6 linked regions of the Neurospora crassa OR74A genome follow. The protein of the gene in region 6 interacts with the protein of the main gene of each other region in a biochemical or structural test. Links are inferred from orthologs where the notes say so. Each region holds a gene or a part of one and is shown on either strand. Other genes may lie near its edges.

Evidence for each region.
Region 1: the proteins of NCU04790 (region 6) and NCU00410 form a complex in vitro, tested with the Saccharomyces cerevisiae proteins (6 studies listed by BioGRID, with this or other methods). The link is inferred for Neurospora crassa OR74A from reciprocal best matches to the Saccharomyces cerevisiae genes SUP35 and SUP45.
Region 2: the proteins of NCU04790 (region 6) and NCU03732 are reported together in a solved structure, tested with the Saccharomyces cerevisiae proteins (2 studies listed by BioGRID, with this or other methods). The link is inferred for Neurospora crassa OR74A from reciprocal best matches to the Saccharomyces cerevisiae genes SUP35 and SIS1.
Region 3: the proteins of NCU04790 (region 6) and NCU07414 form a complex in vitro, tested with the Saccharomyces cerevisiae proteins (2 studies listed by BioGRID). The link is inferred for Neurospora crassa OR74A from reciprocal best matches to the Saccharomyces cerevisiae genes SUP35 and YDJ1.
Region 4: the proteins of NCU04790 (region 6) and hsp98 form a complex in vitro, tested with the Saccharomyces cerevisiae proteins (7 studies listed by BioGRID, with this or other methods). The link is inferred for Neurospora crassa OR74A from reciprocal best matches to the Saccharomyces cerevisiae genes SUP35 and HSP104.
Region 5: the proteins of NCU04790 (region 6) and prd-6 form a complex in vitro, tested with the Saccharomyces cerevisiae proteins (2 studies listed by BioGRID). The link is inferred for Neurospora crassa OR74A from reciprocal best matches to the Saccharomyces cerevisiae genes SUP35 and NAM7.

Annotation. Positions count from the first base shown.
Region 1 is NC_026503.1:3,759,380-3,764,149, forward strand, and holds NCU00410 (eukaryotic release factor 1), read right to left. Parts: upstream 3,467-4,770; 5' UTR 3,400-3,466; intron 3,308-3,399; 5' UTR 3,005-3,307; coding exon 2,972-3,004; intron 2,852-2,971; coding exon 2,767-2,851; intron 2,629-2,766; coding exon 2,579-2,628; intron 2,505-2,578; coding exon 1,368-2,504; 3' UTR 1,133-1,367; intron 1,078-1,132; 3' UTR 521-1,077; downstream 1-520. Other genes in the region: NCU00409 (chorismate mutase/prephenate dehydratase), read right to left, coding at 1-11; NCU00411 (hypothetical protein), read left to right, coding at 4,332-4,721. UniProt on the Saccharomyces cerevisiae protein: Component of the eRF1-eRF3-GTP ternary complex, a ternary complex that mediates translation termination in response to the termination codons. The eRF1-eRF3-GTP complex binds to a stop codon in the ribosomal A-site.
Region 2 is NC_026505.1:2,238,193-2,243,274, reverse strand, and holds NCU03732 (SIS1), read left to right. Parts: upstream 1-1,833; 5' UTR 1,834-2,268; coding exon 2,269-2,348; intron 2,349-2,511; coding exon 2,512-3,253; intron 3,254-3,328; coding exon 3,329-3,622; 3' UTR 3,623-4,381; downstream 4,382-5,082. Other genes in the region: NCU03733 (hypothetical protein), read left to right, coding at 1-200, 263-847. UniProt on the Saccharomyces cerevisiae protein: Required for nuclear migration during mitosis. It is required for the normal initiation of translation. Might mediate the dissociation of a specific protein complex of the translation machinery. Essential for viability.
Region 3 is NC_026501.1:6,009,272-6,014,056, forward strand, and holds the start of NCU07414 (DnaJ family protein), read right to left. Parts: upstream 3,237-4,785; 5' UTR 2,920-3,236; intron 2,640-2,919; 5' UTR 2,510-2,639; coding exon 2,474-2,509; intron 2,409-2,473; coding exon 2,339-2,408; intron 2,276-2,338; coding exon 1,445-2,275; intron 1,388-1,444; coding exon 1,080-1,387; 3' UTR 1-1,079. Other genes in the region: NCU07413 (cytosine deaminase), read left to right, coding at 4,514-4,585. UniProt on the Saccharomyces cerevisiae protein: Probably involved in mitochondrial protein import. Is also required for efficient translocation of pre-pro-alpha-factor. Involved in heme regulation of HAP1, as a component of the high-molecular-weight (HMC) complex.
Region 4 is NC_026503.1:2,635,191-2,640,177, forward strand, and holds the start of hsp98 (hsp98-like protein), read right to left. Parts: upstream 3,427-4,987; 5' UTR 2,932-3,426; coding exon 148-2,931; 3' UTR 1-147. Other genes in the region: NCU00105 (ribosome biogenesis protein NIP7), read left to right, coding at 4,946-4,987. UniProt on the Saccharomyces cerevisiae protein: Required, in concert with Hsp40 (YDJ1) and Hsp70 (SSA1) and small Hsps (HSP26), for the dissociation, resolubilization and refolding of aggregates of damaged proteins after heat or other environmental stresses.
Region 5 is NC_026505.1:5,329,511-5,334,524, reverse strand, and holds the start of prd-6 (ATP-dependent helicase NAM7), read left to right. Parts: upstream 1-1,704; 5' UTR 1,705-2,224; intron 2,225-2,430; 5' UTR 2,431-2,459; coding exon 2,460-5,014. Other genes in the region: NCU04243 (U3 small nucleolar ribonucleoprotein IMP4), read right to left, coding at 265-687, 751-1,209, 1,278-1,283. UniProt on the Saccharomyces cerevisiae protein: RNA-dependent helicase required for nonsense-mediated decay (NMD) of aberrant mRNAs containing premature stop codons and modulates the expression level of normal mRNAs. Also capable of unwinding double-stranded DNA and translocating on single-stranded DNA.
Region 6 is NC_026506.1:821,884-826,883, reverse strand, and holds the start of NCU04790 (eukaryotic peptide chain release factor GTP-binding subunit), read right to left. Parts: upstream 3,041-5,000; 5' UTR 2,928-3,040; intron 2,847-2,927; 5' UTR 2,618-2,846; coding exon 2,287-2,617; intron 2,226-2,286; coding exon 421-2,225; intron 366-420; coding exon 309-365; 3' UTR 1-308. Other genes in the region: NCU04789 (RanGTP-binding protein), read left to right, coding at 3,582-3,761, 3,857-3,891, 3,971-5,000. UniProt on the Saccharomyces cerevisiae protein: GTPase component of the eRF1-eRF3-GTP ternary complex, a ternary complex that mediates translation termination in response to the termination codons UAA, UAG and UGA.

The sequences.
Region 1 (4,770 bases), on a different chromosome or scaffold from region 6:
CTTGAGCTCATGTTGCGCGGCCGTTCACAACCGTACTGTCTACCCGTCCAATATGCTTTCAATAACACACGTACCCAGATTACCGCTCAAAGAGATCCTAGGTTATCGTGGACGGATGTAGGAAGTTGGAAGAGTTAAGTCCCCTGATTTGTGTATGAGTTGGGAATAAAAGGTGCCAGTGACCAATCATTCAGAGAGCACAGCGGAGCATTGGAAGACCCATGTGCATGGTACCTGACGCAGTAGATGGATTTTTGGTGAAAGAAGTAATTTTGAAGTCCCGGGGTACCACTATTCATGTGTCGTTGCCCCGAGCAACAAGCTGCTCTATTGCATACCTTCAACTCAGACTCACCGGGCATCCCGAATTGTCTTCATGCTGGTTTCGACCGGCCACACACGGTTACCTCTCAAAGGTCCGACCGCCGGGCCCCGCTCCGGCCCCGATTACCGGCTTCAGATTTCCCAGACCTCATCAAAGTCGCGTTTCCAGGACAGCCCCACAATGAACGAGTGATGACATTGTGATCGCCGAGGACTGCATAGTCCCTGCTTTTGAAACCTAGTATTTACGCTAATAACAGTACAATAGGACAGCTCTTTTTTTTGTTGATCTTTGGAGTATGGGCACTATTTGAGAGCGCCAACTGTAGATAGTTACCCTTCAGACGGTTATCAAGAACAATCGAAACTAAAAGCCATCAGGATCTAACAAAGACAGAATGAGCGTGGAATTCGGTCCTAGGCTACCGCGTACTAAGCCCTAGTTAAACCATATCTCATATCGACCTGTTTGATTTTTTCCACCCAAAATTCCATAACCCAGTTTTTATGAACCGAAAGCATAAAAGAGTGTTCATGAAGACAGACGCTGTCAGTCCCCGGAATAAAAGCAAATCCATTCCTCATGGTTCCGCGCTAGACATTCAATCCTTTCCATCTTCCAACTTGAGGTATTGCTTTGCGTCCAGCTAAGGGATTTTGGACAATTCATTCGTTGGTCTTGGTAAGACTTGCGAAGAATCAACTCTGCATCCCATTTATAGAACTTCCGCTTCAGTCATAGGCAATTTGATTCTGTTGCGGCTGTTAGCGAGTGGCCAGAGGTCGACCAAACAAGAAAATGCCATACCTTAGATTCCACTAAATCAAACTCAAGAAGCCGTCATCATAGAGCGAAGCGGGCTCGGGCGGGACACCTGGTGGTTACCCGGCTGATGAGGGCTTGCGCCGGAGCGAGCTGCGGACATTTTGCCCGAGCTGGCTGGCTTGAGAAGCGGCGCTGAATCAGCTTTAGGTGTCGTCGTCGGCTCGGACGGGATAGCTTGAGTTCCGGGTCCCTCGTTGTCGGCGAGGGATTCAACTTGTCAATCGTCGTAGTACTCATCATCGTCGCTGACGTCAGCTAGCTGCTCGAAGTTGACTTTGTAACGGAGGATACCGCCGATACCACCGAAGCCCTTGACAAACTGGTTGCCCTCGGTAGAGCGATCGGAGACAAATTCGAGCGTGGCACCGAAATCCTTGTAGTGTTCTGCAATCCACTCAAGGAAGGACTCCTGGGAAACAACTTCCATCTCCTGGCCTGTCTCCTTGTCCATGAAAGCGTCGCGGCTGGCCTGCTCCTGTGCCTTGGTAGTATGCAGAATCACTTCGGATCCGTTGCTGTCCTTGAGAACCCAACGGTTGACCTCAAGGTTCTCGAAGACGATGAGGGTTTCAACGGCACCGAGCTCCAAAGCCTTGAGGGTATCCTCAATACCGTAGCAGACGCGGCCGGTATCCTGGCTAATCTCCTCGAAGTACTTGCCGATGAGCTTCTTCTCCTGGATGAACTTGACGTTTCCGAGGGTCTCGGAGGACAGCTCAATAGCCTGGTTGAAACCGTTTTCACCACCATACGAGACATCGACAACCTTGACAACCTTGGTCTGGAGACGGGGATCGAACAAGTCGGAGGCGTTCAGGTCGTTCTTGAAATCGGCGGAACCAGCCAAAACGAGACCGGCAACGTTAGGCCTGTCGTTGGTGATGAAACACTGGACAGCCAATTCGGCGACCTTGCGGACATAGTTGTGACGCTTTTCCTCACGGAGACGGGCAAAACGCAGGGCGGACTGACCACCACGACCGTGCTTCTTGGGAAGATCGACCGAAAACTTGTGGACAATATCGCGGGTGTTTCCACTGAGAGTGCCGAACAAAGCACCGTTACCATCCATGATGATGAAACCAAACTTCTGATCGGAGTCGAGAAGCTCGGCAAGAGCCTCGGTGTGGAACTTGTTGTCGCAAAGGTAGAGGGAGGTGTTGATGGGCTTGAAGGGCTCGAAGTCGATGTTGACCTTTCTCTCCTTGCCTTCTGAGGTCAAGATTTCACCGCAGTACACGACAAGACCATTGGGCGGCACCTTGTTATAGAGCTTGAGCCTTTGCTGGGTGGAGGTAATGGCCGAAAGGACGGACTGACGGTTGACACGCGACTTGATGTTCGAGGCAGTGCCCTATAGTGCTAAGTCAGGAACAACTGTCCGACACAATAAGGGTGTCGAGATTGGAGGGAAGCATGGTGACGCACATATTCTTCAGCCAACATCTTTGCGGCTCTGGAGATCTGATCCTTGGGGGCTGGAGACGATCAAGGGTTAGCACCACTGGACATTGGGCCGTAAGCAGCAGAGCAGCGAGGATTACTGCCAATGATCTCGCTGTGTGATCAAGGGAGGGTAGACGGCGGTGACAATGCCATGGTAAAGACAAACGTACGGATAATGAGCGAGATCATGGAGGTGCCGTTTCCACGGGCGGCCTCAAGACGCTTGATCAGCTTCTTGACCTTCCATATCTCAATCTATGAGGGACAAGAGCATCTCGTCAGCATGCGAACATCACGTCGGGAACTGTGTCTTTTTTCTCTTTTTTTTTGCGCGCGCGCGCGCAGTCGGGAGAGGGATGATGATGAGCCACTCACGTTCTTCTCGGCCTCGTTGGCGTTGGGATCCATCTTGGCTGTTTTGGGGTGGTGAAGAAGATGAGGAAGACGAAGTGCTGCTGGCGCCCCTGAAGTTAAGTTGGTGCAGCGAGCGAGGTTTGTGATGTCGACCTTGGTTGGATCTGCTTTCAACGGGCGGCGAGCAGGGCAGGACCACAAAGTGGGCAGGTTGGGGTTGTTCTTTTTCTTTTTGCCCACTACTTCGACTATGCCTCGCCTGGCCAATGTGCCTCGCCGCTGGATTTCCTTGTATTCAGTGGGGTTCCAGTTCTAGAACTACTAACCTGGTTTGAAAGCGCACAATGGGCTAATTGGCTGAATTGATGCTTGTCAGTAAGAAGAACCCAAAGAAGCCGGGAGAATGCCCCGCCTGATCTGGAGTAAATGCGGCAGACGTAGGTGCGTACCTAGTTTGCCGGTACCTATGTTCACTACCTAGCGAGTGGGCCACGCCTGCCACAAGGTACCTACAGAGGGGTTTCCGCTGCCCTATTCGACCTGTCTGCCCGTGTGTTTATCAGGCACCTTCTCTTTTTCTCCGTCACAGGTGGGGCGAAACGCGAGTCATCATTGGCGTGGGGGGCCCCTTGCCCTGGGCCTTAGCAACTTGAACCCTTCACACCTGCACATCCCTTCTCCCGCCTGACCTCGTCCTTCAGTTCAACACCGCATCAACTTGGCACAACTTCAGGCTGTGGCGTTTGGCCGTCCAGCACACCGGGTCCCACATTTCCTTCCCGTTTCAGACTGAACTTGCAGAGAATTGCTCCGAATCAGCCTACGATTGTGTCGAGGATTGTCGTCACAGCAGGAACAAAGATGGCAATCTTGAGGCGATGACAATGGAAGCGGTCTGGCCGTGTTAGTACCTACCTAGGTACCTAGTCAACCACTTAGAAATTCGATGGGATGTGTTATGCCGTTCCTTTACGGCCGACTTTTTGATGTTTGGCCTCAATGTTGTTACTGCCTTTATACTGCCGGGTGTCTTCCATGGTTACGTCCTTGGAAGTTGCGACTGTGACACATTTCTGCCCGGAGAGAGCAATATGTACCTAGAGGTAGGTAGTCGCTGGGTGTCGGCCCCTTGCCTGCCCGTAGCCCTACGTGTGTTATACACTGCCCTGGTGTGTAGTGCAATGTACAGGAGCTAATACGTACCGCTCCAGTGGACTGCGCCAACCCCGGAAGGTACCTGAAGCTATGATGTCGATTGACCTCGATGTTCGCTATCTCCCGCTCGCGCGTAACCTCACCTCAGAGCAGAGTAGTCCTCTACACCTCCCATAGACAACAACCTCGAGACGGGCTATAGAACTTGCAGTCTGCGCCGTAAACCATGAACTCCGACATCCCCATACAGATCGCTGAGACCATCCAAACAGCGCACATCAAGCGCGATCCCTCTCCTTCGCACGACATCAACCCCTCTACCGCCGCGTCCAAGCGCGAGCCTGCGTCCCTCCGGACCCAGACCAGTCACAGTCAGCATCATGACTCACTCATACCTGACGACGGGATCGACGAGGACGATGACGAGGAGGACTACGCACAGTCGGAAACAGAAACGGATGAGGCGAGCGAATACAACGTGGTCAAGTCCAGGCCCCGGCGCAACATCCATCACCTACCCCCGATCCCGGACCTGCGGTACGAGCAGAGCTACCTGCACAGTATACGCAATGCAGATACGTGGTGGAAGGTGGTGTTGATTACGGCGAGGGATCAGGCATGTTGAAGTTGCTTTTTTTTGTTTTGGAATATTTACACCACCATCA
Region 2 (5,082 bases), on a different chromosome or scaffold from region 6:
AGCCCGAAGGAATAGTTCGCATCGGCAATGACCGCTACTTCGTGTCGGCTGGTGAATACATTGTGCCGACGGTCAAATACAATGAGACCATCAACGGCACGGATCGCACAGCTGGCGAAGGGTTTGCCCATATGATCATCTTCGATGGCAAAGGGAAGCGTATTGCTGATGCCTCAATCTCACAAGCCAAGTCTCTCGAGGTCTGTCCGTCCGTTGCGCAGCCCGTTCTCAACAATCTTACCGCGGCTGACAGCACAAGTAGTACCACAACGGCGGCATTGACTACGATGGAACCTACATCTGGGCCACCCTCTCCCAGTATCGTCCCAACACAACTGGAACGCTTGTGAGGATGCGCCCCGACACGCTGGTACCAGAGCCCATCTTGAGCGTTGCAGACCACCAGGGAGGAGCGGTCCACGACACAAAGTCCGGAACTGTAGTCACCTTGAACTGGGGGTCGCGCAAAGCGTCGATCTGGAACGGGCACGACAAGCATCTGGCGCCCGCCAAGTTCACTCAGCCGCGGGCAGTGGTCAGGAATCCGAGCAGCTTCATTGACTATCAGGATTGCAAATTCCTGGGTCGTTACGAGCTTTACGAGACCCGGCCAGTGATGTTATGCTCTGGCGTTGCAGACTTGGCGAACACGAGAATCGGCGGTATCGCGATAGTGGACATGGAAACTATGGTTCCTTTACACGAGGTTCCTGTGACCTTGGTGTCGGAACATGGTGCTGCAATGACCAAGAATCCAATGGATGTGGCTGTCGTGGACGGTAAGATGAGGCTGTTCTTCCTGCCCGATGAAAGGAATTCGACTCTCTATGTGTACGAAGCGGTTTGAGTTAGGACATACCGAGCAACGTGGATTATTCTTCTCGGTGTTTGTTTTGGCGTGTTTTTGCACCTTTTTTTTTTTTTTTTTTTTGCCTTCGTCAGGGGTCATCAGAGCAGGTCAACCGGGCTTATTTGGAAAGTCATGACAGTAGGCCTCAGGTCTAACTTGTTCTAGATCTGCTCTGTACCGTCGTGATTCGAGAAATAGAGTCCCGCTTTGCTTCTCCTTGGTGGTTGATGACACATATTTGACGAACTAGTTTAATCCTTCATATGGAGAAGTTCTTGAAGACATGCTTTGACTTTGATCTGCTCCTGACTACAAGTTCTATGGTGAGCTATCCAGGCCTCATTTGTGTGGAGTTGTCGCGGATTTTCCTTATCATGGGGCTGTCATTAAAAGATCGAGTGCGGCCGTTGCTTGCTGTTGGCTTCCATGAGGTTGTGCAACCTTCTTCGTTGCCTTGTAATAAGGCACAATGTAAGGATGATTGATTGGAATCGCGATCATGATTTACGGCAATCCATCCTGTTTCATCGATGCGAGTGAGTACCAGAAGAATGGGATTGCGGGCGAATGGGTATACTGGTATGACGAACTGAGCTGGATCTAACTTTCAAATATCTGGTGATGTGCAGCCCATCGAAGGTGCTGGGTGATGATGTTCATCTTTGATAGGTGCTCCGGACGCGTCCCAACCGCTCAGCAGACTGCTAGCACAGTTTCGCTGAGGTCAAGCGAAGGTCAACTACTTAATGGAGCTTCCCTTCCTGCTAGCTGGCTTGGCGGCCCGCATCAGTTAGTGGGGACTTGGCCTGGACTTACATTGTTAGTATTACTCTTTCCCTGCAGCAGCAAACTGCTCGGGGACATGAAGATTACTAACAGGCGCTACTTTTAGCATGTACCCACTACGCGAGCCCTGCGTCACTATCTCCAGGTCTTGGAAGCCGATAGGCTCACGGTCGAAGGTTCTACAACCTCCTGTTCCTGCTACACACGCCCTTCGCCAAGGCATTTTATGGCCTTGTCCCTCCCTCTTCCACCAAGTGATAGCTTCCTCTCCGACTCTGTGTTGCATCTCAATTCTGTTCAATATCTGAAATCCCTACTCTTGCATTGCGAATTTGCTCTCGCGCATTCCATCAAGATCGACTTTGACAGGCGCTTTACGAGCCATCCAAAGGACCCACGAGCGCTATAGAATCGCTAACGTCTAATACGCATCTGTCATCGCTACCTCACTCTACCTTAATTACCCTACCCGTACCACTACAACAACACAGAACACGTCGGGTTAATTGTTCTCCCTTGCACCTAACGACCGCCGAGACACTTCGCGGCTCTGATCAAGCTTCGCGAAACAGCCTCTACATTTTTACTAGACTCACATACACTACACTCGTCTCTAATATTGCGTCACAAAGATGGTCAAGGAAACGAAGCTCTACGACCTGCTAGGGATCAGCCCTACGGCTACCCAGGACGAGATCAAGAAAGCCTACAGGTGAGCATATCTCCAACCCGAAACCCCACATAACTGCTCTCGCATCTCGCAGTATAAGATCGAGGGAGAGATCTCCTCTTTCCTACGCCATCCTTCTTTCACTTTGGCATTCACATCATCCTCTCTTACAGCCTTCAGTGGACCCCTGCTGACCCCTCACCAGGAAAGCCGCCCTAAAATGGCACCCCGACAAGAACAAGGACAACCCGGAGGCTGCCGAAAAATTCAAGGAGTGCTCTCAGGCGTATGAAATCCTTTCGGATCCCGAGAAACGCAAGATGTACGATCAGTTCGGCCTTGAATTTATCCTGAGAGGCGGCCCGCCCCCGACTGAGGGCGGCGCAAACCCATTTGCCGGAGCTGGTGGCATGCCCGAGGGCTTTGCTTCTTTCTTTGGAGGAGGAGGCATGCCTGGTGGCGGAGGAGGTGCGAGAACATTTTCCTATGGATTCAATTTTACCAACCCCGAGGACCTCTTCCGGGATGCTTTCCGGGATGAAAAGATGGGCGGCGGCATGGGTGGTGGCATGGGTGGTGGCATGGGCGGAATGGGTTTTGAAGACATCCTCTTTAATGCTGCGCGTGGTGGTGCAGGACAGCGCCGAACTGCGAGAAACCCCTTCGGCGGCGCCGACAACATGCGCAGCGCCCGCCAAGCAACACCCGAAGTCACGACAGTTGAACGCCCCTTACCCGTATCCCTTGAGGATCTGTTCCACGGCACGACGAAGAAAATGAAGATCAAGCGCAAGACCTTTGACGAGACCGGTAAGCGCACGACGAGCGATACCGTCTTGGAGGTACCAATCAAGCCCGGCCTCAAGAAGGGTAGCAAAATCCGGTTCAAGGGTGTTGGTGATCAAGAAGAGGGTGGCCAGCAGGATTTGGTGTTCGTCGTCGAAGAGGTACGTATAAACTCCCTTCCCTTTCTTCACGCATTGCCTTTTTGAAGGAATGGCCAGCTGACAATGTGGTTTTAGAAACCACATCCGCTTTTCACTCGGGACGGCAACGACCTAATTCATACTATCGACTTAGACCTCAAGGAGGCATTGACAGGGTGGAAGAGAACCATCACGACGATCGACGGCAAGAGCATTAACATTGAGAAGGCCGGCCCGACACAACCTGGGAGCCAAGATGTATATCCGGGCCTGGGCATGCCCATCTCGAAGCAACCAGGCCAACGGGGCAACCTCATCGTCAAGTATAATGTCAAGTTCCCCACCAGCTTGACGCCTGAACAAAAGGAAAAACTGAAGGAAATCCTCTAAATGGGGTCAAGCGATGAGTATCGGTTCTCTGTGGTAGTTCACTCTCGGATACCTTTGTCCTTCTTGTCGCCTCAACAGGAAGGGACCAGCAGTCTTGGATTGGCCTGAAGAACAGCTTTTAACGCCGGCCTTTGACAACATTCGGGAACCTGTTCGGATCCACCCCCTTGAGTGTATGTAGAATGGTGGGCGTGTTGGATTTGTTTTTTACCCGGGGGGCATTTGCTTTGGTCTCTGTCCGCCATGTGCGGTTCTTGACCATGGTCCACCATATTTGGGCGTTACTGGATTTGTTTCTTCTTTTGGTGCTCAGCTTTCATCGCGTCAGGCTCGCATTGAGATTGGTATTGTTGGTTTAGGCGGCATGTGTGGTGGGAGCTGATGATGACAATTTTCATGATAATGAGTATCCCCGACAAAAGTTCTTAGGCCCCCTGTTGTGAATGTTGGGAGAGGAAAGGGCGCTGGTCTCTCTTAGCATGTTGCGTCCTCTCAAGGTTCAACAATAGCCAGAGACACGCGAGGCCAACGTCAATGGGAATACCATAGCAGGCTTAGATATCAAATGGCTATATCTTTTATAGAAGACGGCTTGGACTACTGCATCTCGGAATGGATTCAAGGTGACAATCCTCGGTCACCACCACCAAACGACACACACGAGGAGAAAATTGATCGTGACCATAGACTACCAAGCGGGGTGGCTAGAACCGATAGATGGACATAGTTACTACAGAATGAAAATCAATGTGCCCAGAAAATCTCTCCCTTTCTCGACTTGACCTTGGAGAGAAACCATAACTTGCTGAAAGACGACGCGGAGCGACATGTGGGAATATGTGCAAGTTCCAGCTACAACAAGTTGGCCAAATAAACACACAGTCGTGTACGTATCTTAGGGGGGGAAGCCACGGCGGGGCCGAATCCAACTGCGAAGAACGATGATTCAACTTGTCCACTTTTCACTTCATCTTGGCTCTCATCACGGGATTTTTGAAAGTACAAACAAGAGGGACAACGACATTGTTAGGTCGGCCCGTCTACCTACCCAACAGCCATTCCAACACCCCGCCAAGCCAAGGATTACATATAACCGGCTGGCTGGTCGATCGGGAAACGCGGCATAATGGGAGAATGAGCGGAAGCGGAAGTGACCACTCGGTCTTACCTTTCCCGCGTTGTCGCTTACCTATACTGCTTTCTGTTTCATTTGTTTTTCTTTTTTTTCTTTTTGGGACTCGGATGGCTGTTCTACTGCTGACTTGATCATCATTTTGGTGCTGATCTCAATGGGGGGTCATGGAAGCATCTCTACGGTTAGATATTTTTGTTATTGGACAAAAGATTTGCAGGGTCCGGGTCCAAGGTTTCTGTGAGGTTCTGGATTCGGATTTTTGAATCGAGCGCTTTCACCTGTTTTCGGTTTTGTTGCTGTGTTGTTCTTCGCGAAGATGGTTCGA
Region 3 (4,785 bases), on a different chromosome or scaffold from region 6:
TCGGGGAGATGAGGTTCATATTTACTTGAGTCTTCACGACCAACGAGAGGTGCCCTAACTGGCCCCCAGGAGGCTGATGTTTGGTTTGGAAAATTGACGTGTTGCTCCGGTCTCAGATGCTCAAAATCATGTCCGATTTGCCTTGAATGGCGAATTTACACGCACGCGGTCTTAAAGACTGTGAGTACACTGGATGGGTACGCTAGGAGCTCGTCGGCAGCCTATATCTAATGACCACAACATAACAACATGCAGTTCGCCAATGAAACGAAATATGGCATTCAGGAATCCTGATCATTTCGCTAACAATCCCAGAAAAAAATAAAACAAAATCCAGCTCCCCTTCCCCCTTTCTTCCTGGATCCAGGTGAGCAGCAATCATGTGATACGCGTAGCATGAGCATGTACTGAGTAGTCCCCCCCTGTTCCTTTCTCATGCTACATGACCTTCCTGTGTCCTTCATATGAAGCAAATAGCCGGGATAAGACGGTAATGCCATGTCCATGCCCTTCATCCTTCTTTTCTATCAGTCCGATATCCTCTCTAGAACGCCTGCCAATAAGACCGGGTGTTGATATATTTTGACATCGATAGAAGTAAAAGTCCACCATGTCATTAAACGCAGGTGAAATAGGGGGAACATCAAACAACGAGATTGAACCCTCTTCTTCCACCGTGATAGTGATAATCCGGGTGCTGTGTGGATAAGTGTGATCGTATCCCTTCCACCCGTGCCGACTTGATCACACTTCAGGTATTACCGGTTTTCACCTTGCATCATACCCCCTTTTTGTTCCCTTCTCCAACTCTTCGTTTTGTCGGCCCCTCAAATATCGTGCCTCGTCAAATGTGCAATACTCGATAATGAGTCGAGTAATCGGGTATATTTGCTTCGTTAAGGATGATCATGGGGACAAGAGACATGAAATGATTTAGAATCGTTGCAAATCATTCATCCTCCATAGCAAGTCTCAAACAATGTCGTGCATGGCACGCTTTGTTGGACCGTCGCTTGTGCCGCAATTTATCGTCGAATTATGGATAAGGTTGGTACTGCTTCCCCGCCCATTTAGCTCGCTTACTGCGAGGCGCACTGTACGCGTTCGGCCTGAGGCTCGTCATCCTCCTCCATAGGGCTGTTGGAGAAGCCACGGCCGGCTCCGTTGCCCTCGACGTCCTCCAATTCTGCTGGCTCGGTCATAGCATCCTGAGGGGGTACGTTGACAACAGCGGGGGCCGGGAGGTACTTGCGAAGAGCCTCGAAGGCAGCGGGATCCTGAGTCCAGTTCTTCTCGGGGAACCTGACGGAAAACTGGATATACATGTTGCCGTAATCGTGGTGGCGGTAGGAGGGCATACCCTGGCCACGAATCATCTTGACGGAGTCTATCTTGCTGTTAGCGCTTGCTGATGCATAATGTAGCCGGACAGAAGAACACTTACTGGGCGCAATAGCCTCGCCGGGCTGGATGTCGACGCTCAACCAGCGCTCATCGAGATGCTCGATGTAGATGGTTCCACCGGCAAGGGCGGTCACGAGATCGATCTCGCACTTGTAAAGAAGATCATCCTCCTGACGGGTGAAGCGGGGATGGGGCTTCTGCTCGATGACGAAGACGACGTCACCGGGGAGAATGCCAGGTGCTTGGTCACCCTCACCACGGAACTCGACCTTGGTGCCGCTCTTAACGCCACGGTCAACGTGGACGTGGAGGACCTTGCGATCGACAACGGTCTTCTTGCCATTGCACTGCTTGCAACGATCCTTCTCCTTGATTACCTCGCCTTCGCCATTGCAGTCAGGGCAGACGGTCTGGAAGCGCTGAATCATGGGGCCCATCTGCCTCATCATGATCTTGGTACCCTGACCATCGCAGCCAGCACACCGCTTGACGGCACCTTCCTTACCGCCGCGACCCTCGCACTTGGGGCAAAGGATTGACCGCTGAAGGGCCAGCTTGGAGATCTTGCCGCGGTAGATGTCCTCAAGCGAGACGTGGTGGGTGTGGTGAATAGTCTTGGCCTTCGCGGGGGCACGCTGCTGGTTCATACCGCCGAACATACCACCGAGACCGCCGCCGAAGCCACCGCCGCCGAAGAACTGAGCGAACAGATCCTCGGCAGCCATGCCGCCACCGGCACCGGCGCCACCCTCAAGACCAGCCTCGCCATACTGATCGTAGATGGCGCGTTTTTGGGAGTCGGAAAGAATTTCGTATGCGTGAGAAATCTCCTTGAACTTCTGCTCGGCAGCCGGGTTGTTGGCGTTCTTGTCTGTAGTGTTTTGTGGTCAGTAAGCCTTCTGGCTGCGCGTGTTGCAGGGAAGGCGGAACATACCTGGGTGGTACTTAAGGGCACCGGTCTTGTATGCCTTCTTCAATTGCGCCTCAGTGGCATCTGGGCTGACCTAAATATGGGCGTTAGGGGGCCTCCTCTGTCAGGCGAGGGGTATCGGTAAGCAGCAGAACTTACTCCAAGAGTCTCGTAGAGCTTTGTTTCCTTGACCATCTTGACTGTCTGGTCTAGTTATGTGAATGGGTGTGGGAAAATGTTCTGGCAGTTCGGAATGCTCTGGACAATCAGTTCCGATGACAATGACGGATATGGGAATGTGTCAGGGCCGTTAAGAAATCGTGGTCTGATGGGAAGACAGATAAGGTCAGCGGCTGCGAGGTCGTGTCGAGAATAATGGAGATGGAGTCGAGAGGAGACAATGAATGGCTGGTGCAAATGAAGAGTGGTGGTGGACAACGGTGGAAGAGAAAGATCTTTTTGCGCAAAGGGTTGGGAAAGGCCGACGGGGTCCCGAGTCGGGGTTGGTTTGGCAGAAGTTGGGGACTTCCAGGCCTCGCTTGCTGGTCCAGGGCACCGAGAAAGAAGCGCAGAACAGGAACGGACAGAAACAGGGATGGACCTACCAGAACAGCTTGAGCTACAGTGACAGCAGCAGGAAGCGTCCGAGATGAAAATAGTTGATAAGGTACGGGATTTGAGTCGCCGGAGGATAGTTGGGAGTGATAGGAGGCTTGATGAGGCGTAGTTGTAGTAGCAACACGCAAGACGGAAGATGGGGTATAACGGAATGACTGATCAACTTTCTCGAGAAAACTGTCCAAGTACCGGCAGCAGGGTTCAAATATTATCAACCAAGGCAGGGCAACAGAACCGGAATCTTCACTGCAATTCTGGAATAGGCGCAGAGGGAGGGATGCGGCGGGCGCCTTGTGCGTTGGGGGGAGGCCCGGAACGGCAAAGGAGGCTGAAGTGGGTGACTGGCCCAGTGAGTTCTTCTCCAGCCCCTCTCATGGAAATCAATCGAAAGCTCTAGAGTGTGGCTGACAGATATGGGGGCCAGTAATGAGCTACTTCCTCGTCCCGCTCCTGCAGGGTTGCGAAGAGGGCGTGCGAGGTGAGAGGTGACCAGGTTCCCCACACTCATCCCAAAGTACCTCTTTATCACTCATTGAGAGGATCTAGCCTCAGGAGATGCAGATGGAAATTCGGTTGACCTTGGAGGACCCTGTCGATCGTGGCTGGTGCGCTCCAATGTGACAGTGACCAATGCCCAACTTTCAACTTTTATTTTAACCGCACGCAATCATGCAAAACATGGTGCATATGTACCTTTGATAAAACTGTAAAAACGCACACCATCTTTACACTAGGCATTTTATCTTCTTTTTACAAGGCAGCATGCATGTCCTCTGATTGGGTTGTTGGTGATGTTGTCTCGTCTGGATCCGAGTTGGCGTCCGCTCGAAACCCTGCAGGCGTTCCGCTTCCCAACAACCCCCACTAACATCTTGAGGTCGCCTTTTGCCCCTCGGTTTTTCAACCCCCTTCAACCACTCGTCGCGGGGCAGCTTCTCATAAGGGTTTACCTTTCATCTAGAGAATTCCAGGTGAAGCAAGCGAGAATGACGTGCGCTGCTGCTTTGCTTATCGATCACCAAAAAGACTCGGAGCGTCTATCTGTGGTTCAAGAGGAGATACTCGGGATCAAATCATTAAGATCCATGAATTATATAGCCTCAGCATCTGTGCCTTACCGAGGTGTCCTAGCTCAGATGCCTTTCTCTTTTGTCTCTCTCTCTCTCTCTTTCTTTTTTCTTTTTTTCTTTTTTTCTTTTTTTTTTTTCAAATGCCTACAGTACACCGGTTCAATGGCAGTTTGATATGAAACTAAATGGTTACCCTCGCAAACAGCACCTTATCGCACTGAGTGACATCTCGGAAGTGGGGGGTCTGCTACAAAGGCTAGATAGGTATACACCAATACCACGGAGATACCAGGGAGATAAGGTGTCTTAGGTCACATATTCAATCAGCCTGATGTTCATCAAACGTGGAAAATGGGAACTTGGCGAGTTGAAGTCGAGTGACAACATCACGGTGGTACTTCTGGAAAAGTTATCTCTTCCAGACCATAGCTACCTACCTTCTGCACTCCAAAGTTCTCTCAGCCCTCTTACATAGCATACCTCTTATTTGACCTCCCTAAATTCCTCCATCATGGATGATGCTGCCGGTCTAGCCATTGCCTTCAAGGAGGCTAAGAAATCATATGAACAAGGAGGAATTCCTGTATGTCTTCTTGATATTCTCTTCTACCGGGTACCTACCAATCTCCCTCGGAATAGTATATATAAATCACAGAAAGAGATTCTTACAAAGAAAACTCCTACCGAGTTTCGACACGATCAAGCCTACCCTTAGGTTCCCCGACACATGGCCTTACATACCTAGCCTTGCTAATGATCCCAAACCAACCCATACCCCCAAAC
Region 4 (4,987 bases), on a different chromosome or scaffold from region 6:
GCTATCCCATTTTCAAATTCCTCAAGTCATGATACCAAATTTCCGTCTCCCTAACACTCGGGGCGTCCACGATTATCTTCTTCACTAATCCTCCTAGTCCACCTCTACGTCGTCGCGCATGACTGAGTCATCTTTCCTATTAGACATCTAGTCGTCGTAAAGATCCTCATCCATCTCAGATTCCGGCGCAACCTCGTCAACTGCGTCTTCCTCATCCAACATCATTTCGTCGTCCTCATCATTGACCTCGGGATGGTTGGGAAGGACTGTAATCTTGCCGTCTTGGACGACAACCCTGGCAACCTCACCGTCGCGGATGCTGCCACGGAGGATCAAAACGGCCAAGCGGTTCAGAACCTCCTTCTCAAGCACACGTTGCAGTGGTCTAGCGCCATAAGCTGGCGAGTAACCAAGAGCACCCAGCTTGTCTTTGGCTTCTTCCGACACCTCGATTTTGACATTGCGATCGTTGTCTTGGAGCCGCTTCTGGATTTCCGCAATGCGTAGCTCGACAATCTTGCGGATCTCGCGACGAGTGAGACGGTTGAAGATGACAATTGAGCTGATACGGTTGAGGAACTCGGGAAGGAAGTAGTTGCGCAGGGCGTTCATGACAAGCTCGCGAGTGGTTGGATCAATCTTGCCGTCCTTGGCGTTGGGACGAGAAAGGTACTCAGCACCCAAGTTAGACGTCATGACAACGATGCAGTTCCTGGCATCGACGACTCTGCCCTGACCGTCCGTGATACGACCGTCATCCATGAGCTGTAGCAGAACGGTCAAGACCTCCTTGGCTGCCTTTTCAACCTCGTCAAAGAGAAGGATGGAGAACGGCTTGCGGCGAAGGGCCTCAGTCAGCTGGCCACCAGAGTCGTGACCGACGTAGCCGGGAGGAGCACCAATCATGCGGCTGAGAGAGTGACGCTCCTGATACTCAGACATGTCGAAACGGATCATGGCCTTAGGATCATCAAACAGGAACTCGGCAAGAGCCTTGGTGAGCAGAGTCTTACCGGTACCCGAAGGACCGCAGAACAGGAAGCTGGGAGGCTGGTTGGGGTTGGAGAGACCCGACCGCTGCAGTCTGATAGCGTTGGACACAGACTGAACGGCCTCCTTCTGACCGACAACAATCTTGCTGAGATGCTTCTCCATGTGCAAAAGCTTCTCCTTCTCGCTGGTCTTGAGGCGTGTGACGGGAATACCGGTCCACCGTGCTACAATCTCGTTGATCTGATCGGGACCAACGACATCGGTGATCATGGCACCGCCGGTTTCGGCCGCAGCGGCGTTGAGCGCAGCGTCAGCCGCAGCCTTTTCCTTCTCAAGCCTCTTGATTACTGCCTCCTGCTCGGGGATGGCGTAATACTGAAGATCAGCAGCACGGCTGTGATCTCCCATTCTGCTAGCCTCTTCGGCCTTTTGTCTCAAGCTCTCAAGCTTCATCCTGGCTTCCTGGAGAGCCTTGGCTCTCTGTTTCTCCTGTTCGTATTTCTCACGGAGGGGTCTGAGCTCCTCCTCCACATTCTCGGCATCCTTCTTCGCCTGTTCAAGACGAGCCTTGGAAGCCTCATCCTTCTCGCGAGACAAGGCGTGAATCTCAATCTTGAGCTGACGCAACTTGCGCTCCAAGGAATCGATGATTTCGGGCTGCGATTCTCGAGCGACTCTGACTGCGGCAGCCGCCTCGTCGATCAAATCGATAGCCGAATCAGGAAGTCTGCGGGAAGTGAGGTAGCGGGCCGCAAGATTTGCAGCGGCCACAATGGCAGCATCGGAAATAGTGACACCATGGTGCACCTCGTACTTCTCCTTGAGACCACGTAGAATGGAGATTGTCTCAGAAACGGAAGGCTCCTTGACAATGACCTGCTGGAAACGACGTTCAAAGGCAGCATCCTTCTCGATGTACTTGCGGTACTCGGCCAGGGTGGTAGCGCCAATGCAGTGAAGCTGACCACGGGCGAGCATTGGCTTCAAAAGGTTGGCCGCATCCATGCCACCTTCTCCGGACGCGCCAGCGCCCATGAGCAAATGGATTTCATCGATGAAAAGGATGATCATCTCCTTGGACTCGGAGATCTCCTTCAGAACTCCCTTCATGCGCTCTTCAAACTCACCCCTGTACTTGCTACCAGCCACCAGGGCACCGACATCAAGAGACAGAAGCTTGCAGTTGGCCAGATTGTCGGGCACATCAGCGTTGACGATGCGCTGAGCGAGACCCTCAACGACGGTAGTCTTACCGACACCAGGCTCACCGATAAGGACAGGGTTGTTCTTGGTACGACGTGAAAGAATACGGATCACTCTCCGAATTTCCTCCTCACGACCAATGACGGGATCAATCTTGCCTTCCCTGGCCATGGCTGTCATATCAATGGTGAACTTGGCGAGATTCTCGTGCTCCTCTTCAGTGTCAGCATTGCGAGAGTCGACGCGCTTGGTACCGCGAATGGCCTGGATGGCATCGGTAACGAGCTTTGGCTTGGGAATGTTGGCCTCCTTGAGCGCATTCATGATCGAGGGCTCCTCGGCCAGGGCTGTGATAAGGTGGTCGACGGCAATGTATGTGTCTTTTTGCGTCTTCTGCAGCTCGTTGGCCTTGCGCAGGACTGTATGGAAGGAAGGAGCCATCGAGACATGGTCGGGAGGAGGGTCTTGGCTGGGGAGGCGGACGAGGGCCTTCTTGAGGGCGCGGTCGAACAGCTGGGGATCGCCGTGGGCTCTCTCAATGACTTGGCGGAAGAGAGAGCTGGTTGCCCCGGCTGGTGCATTTTGCTGGTCCTTGCTCGGATCTGGGAGAGGGTCGAGAAGCGCGACTGCCAGATGAACGGGGAGGAGTTGCGAGTGGGCGTATTGCTCTGCCAGGGCCATGGCATCCTCCAATGCCTTCTTGGCCCGGTCTGTAAATTCCATTTTCGACGTCATGATGAATTAGTGTGCGAGACTCTGTTGGTCCCTACAGAATTTGTGTGGTGTTGTGTTTCGATTGGGGGTGTGTGTGTATGTGTTATTGTTGATGTACAAAAGAGAAAAATCGCGGAAATGTTGAGATGAAGCTAGTGTGACGTGAGGCTTCACTCTTGATGTATATCTTGGAGAAGAAAAGAACAATTGTGTTTGGGGTATCTCTTAGTAGACTTTTGTGTTTTGATCTGGGGAACAAACAAAGAATCGCTGACGGGGGGGAGAGGTCAGAAGGAGTGGAATTTATTCGTGAGCCTTGGTGGGGAGAGAAGTCGCGAGTTGATGCCCGAGCTGGCCGTGCAAGAGCAAGTGGGATGAGTATCTACCTCTAGCTGCTTCTCGATGGTCCTCGCAGCCTGTCGCAAGTAGAGGTAGCTGTGCGGGCGGGCGCACGGGAAGCGACGACATCATAGTGACAAGCAAGCAGGCTGCCCGCAAGAACGAAGCGACTCGAATCTTCAGCGGTCTTCCTGTCACCATATACTGTTGGCTCCTGTTCGGGCTTGAGGGGTATAAAGTGGGTACCTGGAGGGCGGGGCACATGGAAGCTTTCCAGTGGGGTCCGCGCTTTCGGACTGTCTCTCCGTCATCGCAGTACCTGCATCGACCTGACTCCAACCAGAGAGGATTGTCGAGACCCAAACAGCTGGACGTTACTGCAATGCTTCTTTTCACTTCCGTCTTCTCCTTCCACTATAATCCTTCACCGTTGTTCTTTGTCTTCGTTTGCGCAGATGAACAACAAGGGACGTTCTCTCCCAGTTGGACGAACCACAATGTCGGTATCCTCACACTCCAGCATCTCTCTCTCACCATACATACCTTTTCCCATCTACAGGTCTGGCCAAGAAGGCGCAGTAAGGTCTTCGGCGATTACCGCGTAAGGGAAGCTCCTTGCGCATCCGTGATTTCTACGACGAGATAGTCGAATACGTAATGTTGCGCATCGTGGTGGGTTGGGTATCATGAGATTCCTCTAACCAGCGCGCCCAACGTGAGCCAGTTTGGTTGGTCACACTTCATATTCCTTCGAGATGGATGAATTCGGTGCATTCGGTGGTATTCTATACCACAATACTCCCACGTCTCGTTTGCCACTATGTAGTCATCAACACCTCCCCACTTGAGAACCTCGGACAGGAACGGAGACACTGGTTGAGGAGTCTGAATGGCAATCGATCAACTCGATGCTTGATACTAGTTTGGCTTCTTTTTGTGTCAGTAGAAGTTGACTTATAATCCCTCTTTGATGGGTGCAAGGCCATGGCTCGACCCATTCACGACCAGAACCACAAGCTGCCACTTCCAACGTCAAGTGGCCTTCTAGTTACGCTTTTGTCAGTTGAACAGCGAGCTTCTTTGCTGCGATATCACTCCGATATGCATTACAATCTCTGGAAAGCTAACTTGCACGGTTAACCCTGCCAGCAATCTGGGCTACCAGGACGATTGAGAAGTCAGCCAGGCTCGCCGCGCAGGAAAACAATCGTGTAGATGAGGACCGAATCCTGAAAGAGAGTAGCCCGCTGGATACAGCTGGAGATCATTGGCCTCGACTGGGGTTTGTTTCTTCCATCACACCAGGACTTGGATGAACATCGCGATGCAGGAGTTCCCTCTGGAAATATAAACTTCATGGATGTGGCATATTATCCGCTTCAGGTTGTCACTTCAGTTGCCGGCCTGTGACAGTGTCGCTAGGGCGGCACGCTGGGGTCGCGCACGGCAAACGTAGAAGCGGGTAAAAGTGGGACTCGGCTATTTTAGCTACGAGTATCCACTGCAGCCATTGCATCTAAAGCGGAGAATTGATGGCTTGGCGTCTCCCCATTATCGGAAGAGTGGGTTTCCTTGTCGATAAAAAAAAGTTCTGGCAGAGAAACGCGGGCGAACCTCCATCGGTTGCGGCTGTCAGCGCTTGGAGATTCCCTCGCATTGCATCACCAACTCCATCAATTCACAACACACCGACAAGATGCGCCCTCTTACAGAAACGGAGCAGAAGACCGTCTTCGAG
Region 5 (5,014 bases), on a different chromosome or scaffold from region 6:
GCATCTGAGCGGTCTTCCCATTGCCTCCTGCTACTGAGCAGCAGACAAATTGGTGAAAAGGGCTTTCCGCCACCAGATCGTGTCTTTGCGTTTCCCCTGGCTATCCTTTTTTCAGGTTTGTCCGGCGCAATCATCAGGTCCAGTGCTTGACGTTCGTGGCCCAGCAGCAACTTGTCTCGGAAGCCATGCTCACTTGCTGTGACATCCCACCCAATCCAACCGATAATAACACGACTATAGCGGCCCTTTTGTTCCAATCACCGCTTAAAAGTAGTTCTTTTTCCTGCTGGTCCTGGTGTACTGGCTGAGGTGCCATTCGGTATCCGCATCCTTGTTGTCGAGGGTGCCCATGGTGATCTTGAAGGGCTTCATCGTAAACCGGGGTCCAACCTCACTGAGCTCGACCGAGTCGTACGAGGTGCGGACATAGACGTGGTGCCTGACCTCAATCGTATCGTCGTTGTTGACAAATGTTATGACTCTGTTGCCGACGTTGGGTTTCTGTGTCGGCTCGCGGGGAGGGAAGAGGTGCTTGAGGATCTTGACCACTCGCTCACCGAGTTTGGTGCTGAAGCCCTCGAAAATTAGCCTGGGGTAGCTTTCGCTGACTGTGCCCTTTATCGACTTGGGAATATCGGCGCGGAGAACGACGTTGTGGAGGGAGACCATGAGCGTCGGGCCATGGGGCTATAGCAAGGATTAGAAAATGCGTTTTGCAAGTACAACAACATGCCTGGAGGGACAACGTACGAAATGGGAAATGGTCATGGCGGTAGGGACACCACGGTGCTCGTGTAGCAAAACAACATCCGTCAAGTTTTGCGCCTTGGCGGCGCCAACAAGGTCTTCCAAAACGAGGTTACCACGGTTCAGCCGAACACTGGTGGGTAGTAGGAGACGGATTTCCTTGCTGAACTGGCCGAGTCTGCTGGAGGGATCGCGACTTGTCGTAACCAAGATTCTGGGGTCAATGACACCCGACAACTCCGAGTATTCGTCGTCGATATCGATGGCGTCTCCGTTCACATCCCTCGAAACATCGTAGTCGAAGTCCTTTCGCAATTCCTTGTCCTTCGCAATCTCGGGGTCGAGTGGCTTGCCCGAGGCCAGGGCAGACCTCAGCTTGGCGCGCTTCTCTGCAACCTCGGCCTCCTTGAGCAGGAGGGCTCTTCGGTAAAGGTAGTCCCGCCTTTGGCGAGCTTGCTTTCTCTATTGCAGATGTTAGTCATGGACATTGAGAAACTTGGAGAAGATGACGAGTAGACAGGGACACTTACAATCATCTTGTTGTGTTGACACGCTTATCAGACGGTAATAAGTGATTCGGTGGAAGGGATCGCGCCGAGCTCTCAGAGTCGTGTTGTCGAAAGTGGTAGTAATGAGGTTGTCGATAAGAATTAAGGCTGCGAAGACTGGCAGAAATTCAGATGTTCCGGGTCGATACTAGTGGAGGGCGGAGTGGTTGGTGACGACAGGGGTGTTCACAGAGAAAAAAGTCGAAAAAAGTTACAATCGAATGGGACTAAGCGCGAGGTGCACGGATCTTTTCAGCTTGGCGGATACCTATTGGCTTAGGTCCCGTCGATTTGCGCCTGCCGGGAAAGAGATCGCGCCTGGGTCGCCCGGTTCAACGCCACCTTAGGTACCCTGGCTCCCTTCGCTGCAGCTTGTGCCGGTTTCCCAGTACCTACCTACCTACTTGCTGCCCGCTTTCTAGAATACAGGGCAGTTTCAGGCGCTATGACTGCCCGTGCTTCTCAAACAGCTGAGCCCAGAACTGGAGGCTGCTGATAGAAGGCCGTCGGATATCAAACAAGGGAACGACGAACCTCCAACCTGAACCGCAACCGTGACCCGTCCGCCAACACAAACTGAACGGAAGTCGGCCACCGGCAAAATTCCCCCAAGCAAACAACAACCGTGACCTTGAACGGCGGCAACCAAACCATTTGCTTCACAACACCAAGAACAACCTTAAGCGAGCCGATCAGTGGTCTCACTCTGCATCAGCACCTCGACGTTCTGGCAGTGTCGTCGTTTCGAAAGCCCCCGCGCGCAACACAGCCCGCTCGCCGATCCAATCCGTTATGCGATGATGTGACCTTTTAGACGACGTCCAAGCCCATAATCTACATCTTTCCATAGTCCCGCATTGCGACAACCCGCAATACGACAGCCACACCTTTTACCTTTCGACAAAACTTCCGGGTGTGAACTCTTCAAGGTACGCCGCTTGTTTGCGTGTCATGTTCATGTAAACACTGAAATACACATCCCTCCCCAACAGCCCGCTCAACAGCTACAGGCTGGACCGCGGCGTATACCAACAGTACCTTACTTATCTCGTTCCCCAACGATACCTGCCTGACCCTACGTTACTGTTGCGAATTTCCCTCCCAGACACTTACTGACCAGCTGCTGGTGCTCCAGAGTTTACCTCCGTCAACCCACTCGCCATCATGGCCAACATGGAGGTGTCCTTCACACACCTTGGAAACCACTTGGTTTCCGACTCTGCTGCTGCCATCAAGGCCGGTGGCTCCGACGAACTGTCCAATATCGATCCCGATGAGAACCTCCTCTACGGTGTCTACGGTGGACGTGGTCCCCGCGGCAATGGTAGACGCCGCCACGATGACGACGACAACGAGACCGAGGTCCTTGATGACGATGATGACGAGAGTTTGGCCAGCGTTCCAGTCGACGGCATGAAGAGCCTCAAGCTGGATGCCCCCGTGGAGGAGAAGGAACTGCCTCCCCACGCCTGTGCCTACTGTGGCATCCACTCGCCCTCTAGCGTCGTCAAGTGCCTTACCTGTAACAAGTGGTTCTGCAGCGCCAAAGGAAGCGCCTTCTCGTCCCATATCGTCAACCACCTTGTTCGCGCCCGTCACAAGGAAGTTCAACTTCACCCCGAGTCCTCCCTCGGCGATACCGTCCTCGAATGTTACAACTGCGGCACCAAGAATGTCTTCATCCTCGGTTTCATCCCTGCCAAGTCAGACACGGTTGTGGTCCTCCTCTGCCGCCAGCCGTGTGGTGCTAGTACGTCGACCAAGGATATGAGCTGGGATATATCCAGGTGGCAACCCTTGATCGAAGACAGGGCTTTCCTCAACTGGCTCGTCACCCCTCCCACGGATGCTGAGCAGCTTCGTGCTCGCCATCTCACGCCGCCCATGATTGCCAAGCTCGAGGAAATGTGGAAGGAGGCACCGAACGCGACTGTTGCCGACCTCGAAAAGACTGCCGGAGTCGATGATGATCCTCACCCGGTCTTGCTCAAGTACGACGACCCTTATCATTATCAGAACATCTTCGGCCCTCTCGTCAAGATGGAATCCGACTACGACAAAAAGCTGAAGGAGGCCCAGTCTGAGGATGGCCTTCAAGTCCGCTGGCATCTGGGTCTCAATAGTAAACACGTCGCCAGCTTCATCCTTCCCAAGATCGAGTCCGGTGACGTTAAGCTGGCCGTTGGCGATGAGATGCGTCTCAAGTACAAGGGAGAGCTGCGCCCGCCTTGGGAGGGTGTTGGATATGTTATCAAGATTCCCAACAACCAGTCCGACGAGGTTGAGGTGGAACTTCGCAAGTCAGCCAATGACAAGTCTGTCCCCACGGAATGCACACACAATTTCTCGGCCGACTATGTGTGGAAAGCGACTTCCTATGACCGCATGCAGCTGGCCATGAAGACCTTTGCCGTCGACGAGATGAGTGTTTCTGGTTACATCTTCCACAAGCTGCTGGGACACGAAGTCCAGGTTGCCCCGACAAAGATTACGATGCCCAAGAAGTTCCACGTTCCCGGTCTCCCTGAGCTCAATGCCAGCCAAATTGCCGCCATCAAGCAGGTCTTGTCCAACCCTCTGAGCCTTATCCAGGGTCCTCCGGGAACTGGCAAGACCGTCACTTCGGCCACCATCATCTACCATCTTGCCAAGATGAGCAACAGCCAAGTTCTTGTTTGCGCCCCATCCAACGTTGCTGTGGACCAGCTCTGTGAGAGGATCCACAGAACCGGCCTGAAGGTCGTTCGCTTGACCGCCAAGTCCCGTGAGGATGTCGAGTCCTCCGTCAGTTTCCTGGCTCTCCACGAGCAAGTTCGCATGAATACTACCAACAAGGAACTTGATGGTCTCGTCAAGCTCAAGACCGAGACCGGCGAGCTGTCTTCTCAGGATGAAAAGAGGTTCAAGCAGCTGACGCGCCAGGCCGAGCGTGAGATCCTGCAAAACGCTGATGTAGTGTGCTGCACCTGTGTTGGTGCCGGAGATCCGCGACTTTCCAAGATGAAGTTCCGCAATGTGCTCATCGACGAGTCTACACAGTCTGCCGAACCCGAGTGCATGATTCCACTGGTCCTTGGATGTAAGCAGGTTGTCCTGGTTGGTGACCACAAGCAGCTTGGCCCTGTCATTATGAACAAGAAGGCCGCCAAGGCTGGCCTTAACCAGTCGCTCTTCGAGAGGTTGGTCAAGCTTCAGTTTACCCCCATTCGCTTGAAGGTCCAGTATCGTATGCATCCTTGCCTCTCTGAGTTCCCCTCCAATATGTTTTACGAAGGATCGTTGCAAAACGGCGTCACTGCCGCCGAGAGACTTCGCAAGGATGTTGATTTTCCCTGGCCGGTCCCTGAGACTCCCATGATGTTCTGGTCCAACTTGGGCAACGAGGAAATATCGGCCTCGGGCACATCGTACCTCAACCGGACTGAGGCTGCCAATGTCGAGAAGATTGTCACACGCTTCTTCAAGGCTGGTGTCAAGCCTGCTGACATCGGTGTCATTACGCCGTACGAGGGTCAGCGCAGCTACATTGTCAATACCATGCAGAACACTGGCACGTTCAAGAAGGAATCCTACAGGGAAGTTGAAGTCGCTTCCGTTGATGCCTTCCAGGGTCGAGAGAAGGATTTCATTGTGCTGTCCTGCGTTCGCTCCAACGAGAACCAAGGCATCGGTTTCCTTTCGGATCCCCGTCGTCTCAATGTCGCCCTCACCCGTGCCAA
Region 6 (5,000 bases):
GTCCAAAGTAGTGTAGAGGTTTGGGCAAACAAAAGTCACCGTCAAGTCAAGCGAAAAGAACTTGGACACGTAGACCAAGCCATCCGGACTTCCCAAACGCAACAAAGCTTTCTCATTCCAACTGGTATTTTGCTCTATATCCCCAATGCTTCGTTTCGAAAAACGTAAACAGAACCCTTGCTAAGGCTTTCCCCGCGCTCAAGCAAATAACCAATGCAAAGCCTACTTGATCCCTTTTACATTTTTGACTCGAGCGGTGCAGTTTTTTTGCTCAAATTCGCCGAGAACACCAACCTTCTTTTGGCCATTTAAGCAGAGGTATCGGTAATGAGCTTGGTGATCTTGCCAATAGCGATGGTTTGACCCTACAAAATGTGTTAGTCCAATTTCACGTCAAGCAACAGACAAGAAATAACATACCTGGTCACGGAGGGTGAAACGACCCATCTGGGGGTAGTCCTCGAACCGTTCAACGCAGACGGAGCCGGCACCACCGGTAACCTCGAGACGAGCAATGATGCTGTCGCCCTTCTTGGCGTGCGAAGGAGGAAGCTTGGACTTCCTGTTGGTGCCCTTCTGAAGCTTGTGGAGGAGAGCGGCGAAAGTAACCTCCTCGATGGCGGCGTGAACATGAAGCACGCAGTTGAAACCGGCAGTCAGAATGCTCTTGAGGTCAAGAATACGGATCTGAGCCTCGAAAGCGGTGACGTTGTGGACAAGACGCTTGGGCGAGCAAAGGACGAAACCGGGCATGATTTCTTCTTCTTCGATGCCACGGAGACGGAGACGGACTTGCTCACCGCACTGGGCAACGGGAACCTCATCTTCCGTCTCGCCGTAGACGGCCGAGATTTCAATCGACTGCTTGTTAGGCATCATGATCAAGCTCATACCCTTCTTGATCACACCGGCCTCGATCTTACCCTCGATCATGGTACCCATATCACGGTACTTGCCAGAAACAGCCATCATAAAGGGGGCGTTGACCTTGCGCTCGAGAGAGCTCATGTTGTCGAGGTACTCAAGCAGCGAGGGGCCATCATACCAGGGGCAAAGATCCTTGGGCACGCGGTCCTTGATACCCATGGTCTGCTGGGCAGCGACGGGCATGAAGAAGACATCCGTCTTCAGGTTGTAACCAGTACCCTTCAAGAACTGGGCAAGCTTGGTGGTGCACTCCTTGTAGCGCTCCTCGGACCAGTTGACGGTAGGGTCGTCCATCTTGTTGATGACAACGACGAGCTTGTTGACACCCTGGGTCTTGGCCAACATGGCGTGCTCACGGGTCTGACCGCCCTTCTCGAAACCGGTCTCGTACTCACCCTTACGGGCGGAGATGACGAGGATACCGACATCGGCCTGGGAAGCACCACCAATCATGTTGGGGACATAGGTCTTGTGGCCGGGGGCATCGAGAATGGAGTACTTGCGCTTGTCGGTCTCGAAGAAACCACGACCAACCTCGACGGTCTTGCCCTTGGCACGCTCCTCGTTGGTCAAGTCAAGAGCCCACGAGAGGTACCAAGTCTCACGACCCATATCCTTAGCCTCCCTCTTGTACTTGTCAAGTGTACGCTGGTCGACCATGCCGGTGACGTAGAGAATGGCACCACCGAGGGTAGACTTGCCGGCATCGACGTGACCGATGAAGATGATGTTCATGTGCTCCTTGCCGTAGATTTCCTTGAGGGTATCCTCGTCAACATCGGCGGACTGAATATCCTTCTCAACAGCATCGACGTCGCGCGAAACCTTGTTGCCGGACTTGGCGGCCGACGGGCTGGCACGGCCCGAAGAGGGAGCGGGCGAAGTCCTGCCGCTAGCAGCAGCAGACTCGGTCTTTTGCACAGCCTTGGTAGCAGTAACCTTGGCGGCGGCCTCAGCGGTACCCTCCTTCTTGGCAGCCTCCTTCTTGGGCTCCTCCTTGGCGGGAGCAGTGCCGGAGATGGAGAGAACCTTGGCCGCGGGCTTGGGCGCATCACCCCCGATGCTCAAAACCTTGGCAGGAGCATCGCCTCCAACGCTGAGAACCTTGACGGGAGCGGCAGCGGTCTTGGGGGCGTCGGCCTTTGGTTGCGCCTGGGCAGCGGGCTGCTCTGGCCTCTTGACGATCTGAGGGGCAGGCTTGGGCGCATCGCGGTTCTGCTGTTGCCTCTGCTGGTAGCCCTGGTTCTGCTGGTAACCACCGTATTGTTGTTGTTGTTGTTGTTGTTGTTGTTGGCCTGCTATCCACGTCTATCAGTTAGATTCCTCGATCAAAGACTGTACGAACAAGCGGCGGCCTACCGTAGCCCTGGTTATATCCCTGCTGGCCGTAAACAGCGCCATAGCCCTGCTGCTGCTGGTTGTTGTACTGTCCGTAGCCCTGCTGGCCGTACTGGGGGTAGCCACCGCCGTAGCCCTGCTGGGCGCCGCCGTAATATTGCTGCTGGTACTGGGGAGTGAAGCCGGGAGCGGCGAACTGGCCGGGGGTGAAGGAGGGGGCGCCGGGGGTGAAGGCAGCGGCACCGGGGCGGAAGGTACCAGCGTTGATGTTCATCTGTTGCTGGGTCTGGCGCGCCAGGCGCTCATCCTGGTCGGCAGCCTCCTCCCAGTTGTTCTGAACGTTTCCGGACATGTTGGATAGATAGCGGTCGCGTGTGATTCTCGAGAAGGTGCCGGTAGAAATGTGTCTGGTTTCGGGGTCTCGCTCGTGGGCTGGAGAGTGGTGATAATAAAGCTGATGGTCAGCAAAGATGAATCCCGACTCTGTCGGCTGGGTAGCGACGTGGGTGTGTATAAATAAGGTAGGTCCCTTGCGCGAGGAGGGAATCCTGAAGTCAGGAGATGGAGATGGATGATTTATACTAGAAGACAGAAATGATGGTAAGCTAATGCGACCACAGACAGCCCTATATCAACTGCCTCTATACACCGTAGGTACTTACCCTGACGACGACCTGTACTTGGTTGTAGTACTCTGAGTGACCAGTCCAGTCGGCGCGTCCAACTACGTAGCGAGCGAGGGAACAAGTCGAAGAGAGATTTGGATCAAGAAACCTAACGCTGGCAAGGGCTGTAGGGCCCCACCGTTGATTGGGGAGGGCGTGCAGTGAGTGGTGGCGGGGTACATGACAATTTTTTGTCCCGCTGTCTACTGTGTGCGCTAGGACGGAACTGCCGCCACACACTGTGCGACTCGGGGAGTCACTCGCCGAAGAAGTGCGCCCAAAGCCAGCATTCAGTGGAATGGGATCAGCAGGATCACAGTGCGAACCTCTGCAACAGACTAAACCCCTGGTCTCTCTTGGCACATGCACTGTCCCAGGCCGGGCCGTGAACCCAAAAGAGACCCGGACGAAAAGAAGCCTGGACCCGCCAACCAACGTCACTCTTGAGGACCTGAACGTCAAACGGACGGGACGAACACTAACAATTAGGCATCGCTTCGTTCAAGTTCACTTGCTGCCGGAGAGCATTACAGTAAGGTACCTCTACCTACCTGATTCCGTACATAAAACTATCAAATAGGACAGGAACTGAATATGATATACACCGTACCAATCAAATAACCATCCACACATTCTTAACTTGAGCAAATCATGGACGCACTGTTGGCCAAGCTCGGGTCTCATGCGGTCAACTACGCCATCAGATCAGGCATCGCAATCACTTCCACCTACGCCGTCAACCAGTGCTCGAGGCTGCTCAAGACGGTCGACGACAAAGGAGTGTACACCGAGCTCAAGAAGCTGCAGAAGCTTCTGGATAGTAAGATCAAGGTGAGTGGCCATTATTATTCCGAACCCAACAATGCTAAAGCCCCTTCCAACAAAGACATGACACCCCTTGCTAATACGAATATTCCCCACTTCAGATTGTTTCACCAGCTATCGACCTGATCGAGTTCAAGTATGCCCAACCTACCTCTCTTCTTACTACTTACCTTGTCCTTGGCCCTTACAAGAATGTGACTAACGCTGTGTCCAAGATCTGGCCGTGGCAATGTCTTCCTCGAGGCTGCTGTGCCTCTTGCCAAGTCTCTCCATCGAGACATCATTTCTCTCGGGAAGCGCCTAAACGATGCTGCTACTGCCGAAGAGAGCTCCCGCTCCGATGGCAAGAAAGCCCGCATGTCGGAAGCTCATCATATTGAGCTGCTAACCATTATCAAGGAGATGAAGGAACTACTGGCCCGCATAGACAGAGAGATCCCTCTGATCCAACTCGCCATCACGGCCTCGGGAGAGAGGATGAACACGACAGTGAACGCTGGCATCTCTCCGTCGAGACTGATGCAGGCGAGTGCCTTCTTGTCATTCGGGGACTCACACTTTGTGAACAACCCTAACCGAGCAGTCCCCATCGGGCCTTCTTTCACACTATCTCTTTACATGCTCTTCCGCGGCCATTCCAGGCTGAAAAGTGCCAGTTCCGTTCCTGCCACTCCTAGCACTGGAGGCAAGACATGGACCAGGGAGCCATCATATGGTGTTGGCGAAGGTGAACGGAAACCCATCTGGCAAGAGGTGGTGCACAAGGCTCGTGTACGGCTGGTTCGCACACCGCTAGGCTGGAAGTTTGACAAGACTCGCGGATACTGCCCCGGTGAGTCTTCTGATGGACCCGTAAACGCGTACTCTGCTGCCGTTGATTCGGCCCTTTCGATGCTTGGCCGCCCAGACGAGTATGCCTATCACTTGGAGATCATTGAAGATCTCGACGACGGACGTGTACACGATGATGATGCCGCAGGTGAGCCATTCGACGGCATCGATATGGCTGGAATCCGAGACTCCATTCCCATACATCAAGTTTCCAAGATTTTCTACACCGACACAGGGCGACTCCTGAACATCGGTAATGCTGAGGAGGGCGACAACAACCCGGTGTTATTACTGAAGAGAGACCTCCATGCCCCTAATCCGGTCCAGCTCAAACGCCAATGGTACGCCGATCCGGAGCAAGCAGAGGCATCAGAAGGAGAAACAGCATATGACACGGCCGCCGAAGACGACGAC